3 linked regions of the Ovis aries genome follow. The protein of the gene in region 3 purifies or fractionates together with the protein of the main gene of each other region. This does not show direct contact. Links are inferred from orthologs where the notes say so. Each region holds a gene or a part of one and is shown on either strand. Other genes may lie near its edges.

What was found.
Region 1: the proteins of PIDD1 (region 3) and CASP2 purify together in Homo sapiens (affinity purification with western blotting; 5 studies listed by BioGRID and IntAct, with this or other methods). This does not show direct contact. The link is inferred for Ovis aries from reciprocal best matches to the Homo sapiens genes PIDD1 and CASP2.
Region 2: the proteins of PIDD1 (region 3) and RIPK1 purify together in Homo sapiens (affinity purification with western blotting; 3 studies listed by BioGRID and IntAct, with this or other methods). This does not show direct contact. The link is inferred for Ovis aries from reciprocal best matches to the Homo sapiens genes PIDD1 and RIPK1.

Annotation. Positions count from the first base shown.
Region 1 is NC_056057.1:107,909,696-107,913,338, forward strand, and holds part of CASP2 (caspase-2), read left to right. Parts: intron 1-1,441; coding exon 1,442-1,570; intron 1,571-1,721; coding exon 1,722-1,812; intron 1,813-1,896; coding exon of another isoform or gene 1,897-1,961; intron 1,962-3,643. UniProt on the Homo sapiens protein: Is a regulator of the cascade of caspases responsible for apoptosis execution. Might function by either activating some proteins required for cell death or inactivating proteins necessary for cell survival.
Region 2 is NC_056073.1:49,698,001-49,701,743, reverse strand, and holds the start of RIPK1 (receptor-interacting serine/threonine-protein kinase 1), read left to right. Parts: upstream 1-1,256; 5' UTR 1,257-1,516; exon of another isoform or gene 1,517-1,687; intron 1,688-1,964; exon of another isoform or gene 1,965-2,614; intron 2,615-3,349; exon of another isoform or gene 3,350-3,611; intron 3,612-3,743. UniProt on the Homo sapiens protein: Serine-threonine kinase which is a key regulator of TNF-mediated apoptosis, necroptosis and inflammatory pathways.
Region 3 is NC_056074.1:46,946,803-46,950,539, reverse strand, and holds the end of PIDD1 (p53-induced death domain-containing protein 1), read right to left. Parts: coding exon 3,552-3,737; intron 3,465-3,551; coding exon 3,339-3,464; intron 3,068-3,338; coding exon 2,888-3,067; intron 2,809-2,887; coding exon 2,661-2,808; intron 2,578-2,660; coding exon 2,442-2,577; intron 2,362-2,441; coding exon 2,211-2,361; intron 2,131-2,210; coding exon 2,007-2,130; intron 1,936-2,006; coding exon 1,817-1,935; intron 1,740-1,816; coding exon 1,626-1,739; intron 1,523-1,625; coding exon 1,323-1,522; intron 1,110-1,322; coding exon 851-1,109; 3' UTR 509-850; downstream 1-508. UniProt on the Homo sapiens protein: Component of the DNA damage/stress response pathway that functions downstream of p53/TP53 and can either promote cell survival or apoptosis.

The sequences.
Region 1 (3,643 bases), on a different chromosome or scaffold from region 3:
TTCATTATATTTTGGTCAAATTCATAGCAAAATAAACTCATTTTCTCCCTGCTCATCTCAGAGACAATCTAGACATTTTGAGTTGTAGAGGGAGACGTAATTTACAGTTTGTATCACATTGGTATAATTATGCTATTAGATGTATTATAACTTTCCATTGTATAGAGCAAATGCTTAGGAGTGTTACTCATATATGGCAGTCTAGTGCAAGATCAAAAAGATTCTTAAGCTGGACTACAGTGTTTCTTTGGAAAAACAATATTGCTACCCTTCATTAGAAGGCACAGTATGAAGGCAGGTCTTTGCAGTATGTGCCAGGCATAGTGATAAGCCCTTTCTATGCAATATCTCGGGGCTTCCTTGGTGGCTCAATGGTAAAGAACTCACCTGCCAATGCAGGAGACTTGGGTTCGATCCCTAGGTTGGGAAGATTCCCTGGAGAAGGAAATGGCAACCCATTCTAGTGTTCTTGCCTGAGAAATCCCATGGACCGAGGAGTGTGGCGGGTTACAGTCCTTGGGATCACAAAAGAGTCGGACATGACTTAGCCACTAAACAACAGCAGCAATGGATGCAGTGTTTCATTTAATCTTTACAAACTCAGAGAAAATTTACTCTTAATTGTCTTCTTACAAAGTGGATATTAGAACCTGTTCTAATTTATGAACCCAGGGGTTAAACCTAGGTCTCTCTGATCCACCGGCTCATGTGGGTAGTCATGACCCTGTCCAGAGTCCTCTGTAGAGTGTGTTCTTCTGTGAGCAAAAGTATTTTTGTACAGACGTCATCATTGTCCCTGGGAACTTCATTTCTGAGACAGAAAACAGCATAGAAGTACTGCTGTCCTCTATTGTCATGATCCTGTGAGCCCGTGGTCACAGAGCAGTTCTTAACGGCTGTTACTTTCTTGTAAGCGTGTTACTTACTCATTCACAGTTTACCTGGTGGTCCCCTTTGTGCCATTAACGTACAAGGGCACATGCGCTGAAGAAAGAGCTGGTTGATGCCTGGAGAGTGGGTCAAGTTAACTAGCATCTGCATGATTAGCTTCATTAGTAACTTGGCTTCACTCCAGGAGTTCTTCACATGAGCTTGTAATGAGCCTGTGAGTCATTATATTCAGTGTTTCGTCTAAGTGAGTGTTAGTTGCTCAGTCTTTGTGACCCCATGGACTGCAGCCCACGAGGCTCCTGTGTCCATGAGATTTTCCAGGCGTGAATACTGGAGTGGGTTGCCATCTCCTTCTCCAGCGGATCTTCTCGACCCAGGGATTGAACCTGGGTCTCCTGCTAAAGTCATGTAGTTTTCTCGTGCTTACTTAGCTTCTGACTTGGTAGAAGACACGTTTGATTTTCTAATAGCCTAGGGCTTCAGACACCAAAAGGAAGCTTGTATAGGTGCTGACTCTGGGGAGCAACCCTGAAAGGCATCTTTCTCCTAGGAAATGCAAGAGAAACTGCAGAGTTTTGCCCAGCTCCCGGCTCACCGAGTCACTGACTCCTGCATAGTGGCGCTCCTCTCCCACGGCGTGGAGGGCAGCGTCTACGGCGTGGACGGCAAACTGCTCCAGGTGCGTGCCGGTCTGTGGCCACGGCTGGTGAACCTGGGCCACGCCACCTCCTGCTGCCCGTCTCTCCAGGGATGGCCACTATTTGTGTGTACAGGACTCGGGGGTCCCACTGACCACCAACCCCCTCTTCTCCCTTATTTCTCTCCGGCAGCTACAAGAGGTTTTTCGGCTCTTTGACAATGCCAACTGCCCAAGCCTACAGAACAAACCGAAAATGTTCTTCATCCAGGCCTGCCGTGGAGGTGAGTGCCCCGGCGGACCGGCACCTGGGTGTGGCCCCCGGGCAGCCTCCCACCCGCTCTCACTTTCCTATTTGCTCCTCTCAGGTGCTAGCGGACCCCCTGGGCACCTCCTTCTGTTCACTGCTGCCACCGCCTCTCTTGCTCTGTAAGTGTCTCCCGACGCATGGGGTGTGCTGGGACTCGGGCCGCCCCTGGCTCTCAGGTGGTCAGCTCTCTGCGCACCGCCACGTCCGCCCCCAGGACGCTCTCGGCCAGTGCCTTCGCCTTCTTTGAGGACGCTTCCTTTTTCCCTGTGCTTATTAACCCCGGTGCGCTTTTCTCATCGCTCTTTCTGGTTCAGGGTCTGCCAGCTGCTCTGCTTCCTCACCCTCTCACTTGATCCTCTTCCTCTTTTTCTTTCTCTGCCTCTCCTCTCCCTTTCTGCTTTCTCCTCCTCCTCCTCTTCTCCCTCACGCCCCGTTCTCGCCTCCTCTCCTCTCCGGGCCCCTCCTGTGTCGTGCGGGAGAGCAGTGTGGAGGCCCCATGTCAGCCTTTGGCTCCTGCTCTTCTGCGAGCTCCTCCCATCCCTCTTGCATGCACTCTCTTCATCCCTTAAAAAGCCAGGACTCCCTGATTGCGCTCAGAAGACATCGGGTGTGCTTCTCATCACAGAGGGAAAGAGTAATGATTGAAAGCTCTGAACGTGGAGTCAGATTCTGCCTCTGCTACTGACTAGTCATGTGAAGTTATAGAGGAGTTCCTCCATGTCCCTCCACCTTAGTTTCCTCAGTATAAAATGTAGGTAATCACACGTCCTAAGGTCATGTTGTTGTGATGGTTAAGTGAAGTGGTTCCATGAAAGTGGTTCATATTAGCTTAGTGCCTGGCTCATGGTAAATTCACAAAATACCAGCTCTAACTGTTATAACATGGTCTGTGCCCTTAAGAGACTTACAGTTTGATTTAAAGGTCCCTTTTTCCAAAGATTCAAATAGTGTATTTTTTGCATGGGTATAGCAGTATTCTTGCCTGGAGAATCCCATGGACAGAGGAGCCTGGTGGGTAAAGACCACAGGATCACAAAGAATCGGACACAACTGAAGTGACTTAGCACACACGCCTAGCAGAGCACAGCAGTGGAATACCAGGTAGAGCCTTTCAGGGAGAGGAGGAGTGCAGTGTGACAAGCACATCAAGATGAAAAGGATACCCCTTCCCCTGCCCCAAAGCGGGCTGAGCCAGAAGTATGCCTGGTTCTCCATCTGCATCAGTCACGTGTAGTGAGATGTGGCTGACCACATGAGACAGATCCTAGTGATCATAAACCTGCAGCCACAGCTGAGATTTTGGGCTTTCACAGATAATAGTACAGAACTATTGGGAGCACAAGTAAGAAACAATTGGATGATTTTTTTTTTCAGGATGATTACAGGGAGCAGTGCTGAGAAAAAGAGTATGTGTGAGCAGGAACGTCCTCTTTTTGTGTCCCTGCTATATCCCCGGGCCCAGGGCACTGCGTGACACATAGTAGCACGTCATAAATATTGGCTGAGTAGATGGAAATTCAGTTCAGTTCAGTTGCTCAGTCGTGTCTGACTCTTTGCGACCCCATGGACTGCAGCACACCAAACCTCCCTGTCCATCACCAACTCCTGGAGCTTGCTCAAACTCAAGTCCATCAAGTCGGTGATGGCATCAAACCATCTCCTCCTCTGTCGTCCCCTTCTCCTTCTGCCCTCAATCTCTCCCAGCATCAGGGTCTTTTCAGATGAGTCAGCTCTTCGCATCAGGTGGCCAAAGTATTGGAGTTTCAGCTTCAACATCAGTCCTTCCAGTGAACATCCAGGACTGA
Region 2 (3,743 bases), on a different chromosome or scaffold from region 3:
ATGATCGCCACTGTCTGTTATCCTGGAAATGTGTGAACTTTAGGCAAAAAGTGTTCACAGTTCTGCTACTCCTTGTTACTCAAATGGAACCTCAATAGGTTTGCAATCCACACTTTCCCTCGGATGTGAAATTGTACAAAGGAAAGGGCCTCCCTGGCATTGAGATACGAAGTCACTGACACACAAAAATCTCACACTTGGATCACCACTGCTTTCTGAGAGATTCTGATCAAAAGGGGGAAATGTAAAAAACAAACACACAAAAAACAAATCTCAAAGAGTCAGGAGATAGAAAGGCTGGAGAATCTTTTCTAGCAGAAATCTTTTTTTTTCCCCGGCAATGATTCAGCCCATGAAAAGCAGTGGACTTTTAAAACATCTCTCCAACTTCCTTTTCCCCCATAAAGGTGTCCTCTCCATTTGCATGCAAGTTCCCAGGGTGGCAGACCTCAAATTGCAATTCTTTTCATAATAAACTTGTTTATGCTAGAGAAATAGTTGGCAGTCCATTTATTTTAGGCAGACAATATGTGGTGGCATCTCATTGGTTTTTCACAGTTTCCTAATATCCTATAATATTGAGCATCTTTTCATATACTTACTTGTCATTTGTATCGTGAGAAGTCTGTTGAGATCTTTTGCCTTTTCTCAATTGCATTTTTCCTTCTCTGGCATTTCTAGTATACTTTGGGTAACAGTATTTTATCAGCTATGCTTTCTGCAAATATTTTCTCAGTTTGTGGCATCTCATTACCTCCAGATATCTTTTTATAGTATGTAATCATGCTATATATATAATCAACTTTTCATCATAACACTATAGCAACCATTTCCCATTTTGCTTCAGACTTCCCAACCATCCTCGTATGATGCTGGTTCCTCCGCAGCCCCACAGAAGAGATTATCCCCACTTCACAGGTGAAGGAGATAAATGCCTGGGAGCTTGCTGCCTAGGGTTCCCGCGCTGCTGACCTGCAGAGCTCAGAATCCCCCGGGGAAGCAGCCCATCGTCTCCGGCCCTGCCCGCCGCGCCCGGCAGGTTTCTGTGAGTGGTTTCCGTGACTCGGCATTTCCTCTGTCCTCTCGGCCTCCCAAACCGCTCTGAGAGCACGATCCTCAGTCTGAGCGCGTCCCGGGGTTTCAGAACGGGCCCGGAGACCTTTCCAGACGCGGGGCGGGCGCTCTCCCCACCCTCCTCAGGGGCAGGAGCGGAGGCGGAGCGAGCAGTCCACGCCCTCCGCCGGCCGGGCTCCCTCAGTCGAAGCGCCGGCGGCGCGGACACCGCATCGGTGTCCCGGAGCGCTGACCCCGGAGCGCGGGGCCCCAGCGGGCCCACTCCGCGAGGAGCCCGAGCGCGCCGACCACTGGACAGCACGCGACGGACGGCTGGCCCGCGGAGCCGGGCGCGGTGAGGGCAGGGCAAGGCGGGGCGGTCCCCGCCCGCCTCCCAGCCGACGGCTCCGCCCCGGAGACCCCTAATCGGGCCCGGCGTGCCACCCCGGCCTGCGCCGGCCAGGTACTGCCGGGCGTCGGAGCAACTCTAGGCTGCCCCGCCGCCTCCTTCCTCACCCGGCCTGGGGCCTCAGGAAGTCTCCCGCGAAAGCGAAAGCGAATCTCTCGGTGCGTCAGCGCGGGACCGCCGGGCCCAGACCAGTCTCTGGGGCAGGCTTCCGGCAGGGGGCGGGGCTTCTGCTTCCGGTGGGTGGGGCGGGCGACGCGGCTGCCGGAGTTCGGGCGGTGGGCGTGGCCCGCGGCGTTCCTGAGGTCTGGCGGTGGGCCAGTGGGGTGGTGGGCGTGGCCCGCGAGTTCTCAGAAGGCAGACGGTGGGCCTTTAGGGTGGTGGACGTGGCCCGCGAGTTCCCGGAAGTCAGACGGTGAGCCGGTAGGATGGTGGGCGTGGCCCGCGAGTTCCCGGAAGTCAGATGGTGAGCCAGTAGGAGGGTGGGCGTGGCCCGCGAGCTCCCGGAAGTCGAGCGCCCAACTGCCAGCCGTCGGCGGTCCCTGCGGCGTCTCGTCTCGCCGGGAGTTTGGGTCTGGCGGGACCGGGCAGAGATTTGGCTCCCGCGCGATAACTGCCTGAGGTGGAGACGGCCCGCCACGTGGTTTGCGCTGTGGTGTCAGGGGAGGTGGCCGGTCTTCCCTGCGGTGTCGTTACGAGCTTTCGCCGCCCCGGGTCACGGGGGCGCCGGGGCCGCCGCTGCTCGCGACGCCGTCAGACGCCTTCCCGCGCCGTCTTCGAGGAGAGCTGGGAAAGAAGGGTCGACGGGCACGGCGGGGAGGGCGTCGTCCCCCGGTGGCGCGTGCTTTTACTAAGTGACTGAGCGCGCACACGCTCTCGTAGCCTCTTTAGAGTTTTGAAGAGGGTGAGCGCCACCCTTCTTTGCTCACGCTGGACAGCCTCCCACAGAGGCGGGGTTACTGTTCATTACTTTGTCTCTCGCTGTTCCTTCGGCTCTTCCTTGCTCGGAGCTCTTGCGTGTCCTGGACAAAGCCCGAGGCCCGTTACACTCAAGCGACTTTGCAATAGAACCGCTATTACTTCTCCCTCCATTCACACATGAAGAAATCAAGGCAGGAGTGACTTCTTCCTTGATCTACGTTTTGTAACCATCAGGTACGTAGGTGCAAGAGTGGGGAGGAGATTGTAGTCAATTATAAGTATGGGGAACTGCCCCCTTCTAAACACAAAAGGGAAAGAGGAAGCTTGTTTAAAGCAGTTGAGGTATCTCATCATCGTAATTATTATTACTGGTAAAACAACTATCATGATTAACTGTAATTTGCATGCTTCACTGAGCTGAATTGAGCACCACAGATACATTGCACTTTCAGGATTGTGAATATTCACGAGAATAAAGAAAAATATCCCTAAATAACAGTTTCCAAAATTGAAAATTTCTCTTGGATGCTTATTAATCAACAACATGGTAATACCACCAGTATGAGCTGGGAATTTGAAAAAGCACAGCTTCCCATGCTATGGTTGGACGTTATACTTCGGCAAAAATGATCGTGTTAACCTGTAGAATATTGATTTTGAACCGCATGTTTTCATATGTTTTTAAAATTTAGTCTGTACTTTCCCTATGTTTCTGAATGTAGCATACTTATTTAGTATAGGTGAGCAAAATTGTAAGATTAGGTCTTTGAATCTGATTTTAAGGAAGACAAATTATTGTTTACTCTCTGGAGAAGTAGCATGTGTTACTGAACTGATAGTGGAAATTTGAGTGAAGACATTAAGACTCAATTCTGGGATCTGTTACTCTAGGTGAATCATTAAACTCCAAATTATAGTTTCTCAGTTTGTAACTTGGAACCGATGTATTAATAAGTTGGTACTTCACAGGGTCATCATGTGCAAGATACACTGGGTTGAACTCTTGTAGTTTTCTCTCTTGCTCAGAGCTCTTGTTTATCTGAGGCAAAGCATCAAGCAGTTAAAATCAAAGAACCTTGAGAAATTCCCATTGGATGCCTGAGTAAAAACAGAGTTCCATGTGCAGAGGAAAAGGGGGTCATGATAGTCGGGTAGCCAGCATTTTCTGTCAGACTCCTCATGTATGGTCCTCACTGAAACACTGAAAAAAATCGCCCTCAACCACTTAAAGGTAAATATGAAATTTTTTTAACTTAAAAAAATTATTTATTGTGATACACAGAAAAGAACACACATCATAACTGTTTGACTCTCTTAATTGTCCTGAAGTGAACATTAAGAAGAGACAAGTATCGCCCTCACG
Region 3 (3,737 bases):
CCGCAGAAACCGCCTCGTCCGGGCAGATGTCACTTCCCACAGCCGCCGTGGTGCCCCTCGACTCCGCGGCCGGGCTGCACTCGGGTGGGCGCAGCGGAAGGAGCCGCCAGGGGGGCACTCACCGCGCGCTCTGCCGCCGCTGCCGCCGCCTCTGCCGCCGCGCTGGCCTCCCCGCCTCGCCGCGCGCGCGGCTGCACCTAAGCGCGGGGGCGCGTCCGCTCGGCGCCGCGCGCGCTCCGCCCCCGGCCGGCGGTTGGCTCGCGGACTCCGGCTCCCCCTCCTGGCCGCCCGGGCCACTGCCCTCGGCAGGCCCCAGCCCGGCGCCAGCCGGCGCTCCAGGTCTCCACGGGTTTTCACTGGCCGTTCGACCTCGCGCCGGTGCATCGGCCAGGGACTACTTCCGTCGGGCCAGCGGATGGGGGTGCGCTGGGACGAAGTGTCCCTAAGGGAGGAGCCGTGGGAACTGAATTGGCCAAAGCGGGCCCCCAACCAAAAGGCAGATGCGCCATCCTGCACACGACTGTATTCACGGGGCAGCAGCTGTTACTTTGCAGCTGGGACTCCACTCCCTCCCTGAGATCAGGACCCAGTGCAGGCCGTGGGCGCAGACCAGCGGGAAGGAGAGCTGTGCGGAAGGAAGTCTGTACCCAGGCCCGCTTGCAGCAGAGCAGGGCCGGGCCTCAGATCACCTGGCCGCCCCTGGCGTTCCACCGGCCTCTCCACCCGAGAAAGTCAGTGCTGAGACAGCGACCAGGCAGTGTATGTGTGTTACACCGGTGGGGGTCACTCTGCTCACACGCAGGGCAGGTTTGAAAGCGGGAGCCTCAGGGTCCAGCCCGAAGTCCGGGGTCTAAGCCTGGGCAGGCTCTGGGGAAGGTGACGGCGACCGGTCAGGCGAGGCGAGGTTCCTGGGGGCCAGGCTCGTGTGACGGATGCCCTCTTGGTACTTGCGGCGGCCAAGCTCCAGGACAGCCCGCACCTCTTCGGCCACGTCCCGCCGGTCACTCTGCTCCAGAGCCTGCACGAGGCGCCCCGCGGCCCCCGGCTGCCCAGCCTGGCGCTCCGCCCAGGAGAAGAGCATGTGGCGGACCTGCCCATCCAGGTCATCCCTGGGGGGACAGGGGAGCAGTCGGGGGGCCCGCCAAGACCACCCGCCGAGCCGAGGGCCTTGCTCTCCCTCCTGGCATGGGGCCTTGCTCCCTGGGCCAGGGGCAGCCAAACCCTTCCTTTCCTGCCCGTCTGCCCTGCCCTCCCTCCCCTGGACGGAACCTCAGCCAGCCTCTGGGGGGAAGCCAGCAGGACGAGAGAGGCTCAGAACTGACCGGAACTCATGCCGGATGCGCTGGAGCTCACGGTAAGGCAGGCCCAGGTGCAGGGCCACAGCTGGCCAGTCAGGGCCCAGGCGCCCGGCCACATTCAGCAGGTTGCTCTGGGTCAGGAAGCCAGTCTCGGCGTCGCCCAGGTTCAGAGGTGCCAGGGAGAGGCCAGGCTCCCGGGTCGGGCCCTCGCATCCCCGCAATCTCTGCGGGCAGGTCGAGGTGGCAGTGAGCCCCGGCCTCACCCCAGCCCACCCCGGCGGCTCCTCCCCCGTCCCCTCCACACGGGGCTCCCCAGCCAGGCCTCACGGGCAGCTTGATGGGCAGAGTGGCCATCCACAGGGCAGCTGGGCCCCTCTTCTGCCGGGCAGCCTCTGCCTCCTCAGGCACTCCCTCCGGCACCTCGCCCCGGTAGAAGGACACCTGGGGAAGAGGAGAAGGTGGGCTTCGGCGCTCTGGCTTTGGCCCGGGCAGCCCGGGGCGCCCACTGCATGGCCCACCTGGCCCCTCACGGCCCGAGCCCGTCGGTCCAGGGCGGTGGTCACGTACACCTCCTTCAAATTCTTCAGGTGGGAGTAGAAGACAAAGCAGAGCCTGCCCTCCACGCAGTCGGGGCGGTCTGCGGGCACAGGGGGCTCAGCGGGGGCGGGGCGCAGGCCCAGCGCCCCGCCCCCGGGCGCCCGGCCACACCTGCGTCGATGTCGATTCCCCTCTCGAAGGCGGCGAAGAACTTCTCGCCCTCAAACATCTCCACGGTGTCCGAGGGCTCAGGGCCGCGGTATCGCTCCAGCAGCCGCCGCAGGGTGGCGTCCACCTGCGGGGCGAGGGACCCGCTGGCTGGGAGGCTGACGCCCTGCGCCCCTGCCCCGTCCCCCGGCCCTCCGCCGCCCCCACCTTGCTGCGGGGCAGGCACTGCAGCAGGACCTGCTTGGGGTCCCGGCGTCTCTGCAGCGCGATGAGGTTCACGCGGTGCAGCCGCAGCCGCTCCCAGGCCTTCTGCGCCAGGCTCCCCACGCAGGCCTTGGTGGTGTACCAGAGCCAGTACCTGGAAACGCGGGGGTGAGGGGGACCCTGCAGGCTGGGGGGCGGCTGTGGGGAGGGGGCCGAGGAGGTGGGGGCACTGACCAGGAGAAGCGCGTGACCCGGAAGCGTGCGTACAGGTGCGTGAGCTCCAGGGCCACCTGCGCCGTGACGTCGTCCCAGGCGGCCGCGGGGGCAGCCCGATGCAGCAGGTGCAGGCGGGCACGGTCCAGACTCAGGCCTGGGGGGTGCAACGGCGGAGGCCTCTGGCTGGGGCGCCCCTCCTGATCGCCGCCCCCGCCCGTGCCGCGCCGCTGCCCTCACCTGTGACGCCGGGCGGCAGAGGAAGCTGGACAGTGACTGGCCGGAGGAAGCTCGAGGGGCTGCTCTGCGAGAGGCAGAGCAGGGGGCTGGAGGCCGCCTCGGGCTCCCCGAGCAGGGCCTGCAGCGCTCTGCTGCCCACGTGCACCACCTGGAGCACACAGGCCGCCCCTGCGGTCACTTCTGCGCCCGGGCGCCTCCGCCACCCCAGCGGGCGTCCCGGCCCCCACCTGCATGCGGACGCGCCGCGGCTCCTCGGTGGCCCCCGGGGGGAAGGTGACCCTGACCCCGGCGTGTCCCGAGGAGCACAGCAGCGTCCCCTCCGGCGGCACCAGGCGGGCGTCGGACACAGGGCGCGAAACCACGAGGAACCAGGAGAAGTGGGGCACCTGGCAGTGGGCCCAGAGCCGCTGGCGTGGGCGCAGAACACAAGGTCAGGGCCGGCAGGGAGCGTGGGCATGGGCGCAGGGCATGGGTGAGGGTCAGCGGGCCGGGGCCGGGGTGGCGGGTCGGAGCAGGGCTGCGGGTCAGGGCCAGAGGGCGTGGGCGCAGGGCATGGGTCAGGGGCGGCGGGCTGGGGCAGGGCTGCGGGCATGGGTGCGGGGCACAGGTCAGGGCCGGCGGGCTGGGGCGGGGGACAGGTCAGGGCTGGCCCTCCCCGATGGCCCAGGCCACCCTCACCGTGGGCGCCTCCTCCTCCAGGCAGGTCTCTAGGTCGCTCCAGCTGTTGCCACTCAGCGTCCTGACCACCACCTCGCGGCAACGCCTGGCCCGCGGGGGCACGAAGAGCAGCCACAGGCCCACCTCCTACCAGGCGAGGGGGGCGTGAGCGCCGGGGCACGTTGGGCCCTGCTCTCCGGGGCCCTCGCCCACCCCACCCTGCCCCGGCCGTGCCTGCTGGAAGGCCGCCCCGTGGGGCTGCAGCTCTAGGACCCCGCTGAGCAGAGCGTCGTGGGGACCCAGGGGCACGAGGCGCGGCTCCGGCGGCCACAGGCGGTAGCGGATGGTCACGGGGGCAGCAGCAGCCCCCGCAGGGAACTGCAGGCGGACGCCGCAGGCCAAGGTCACGGAGCAGCCTTG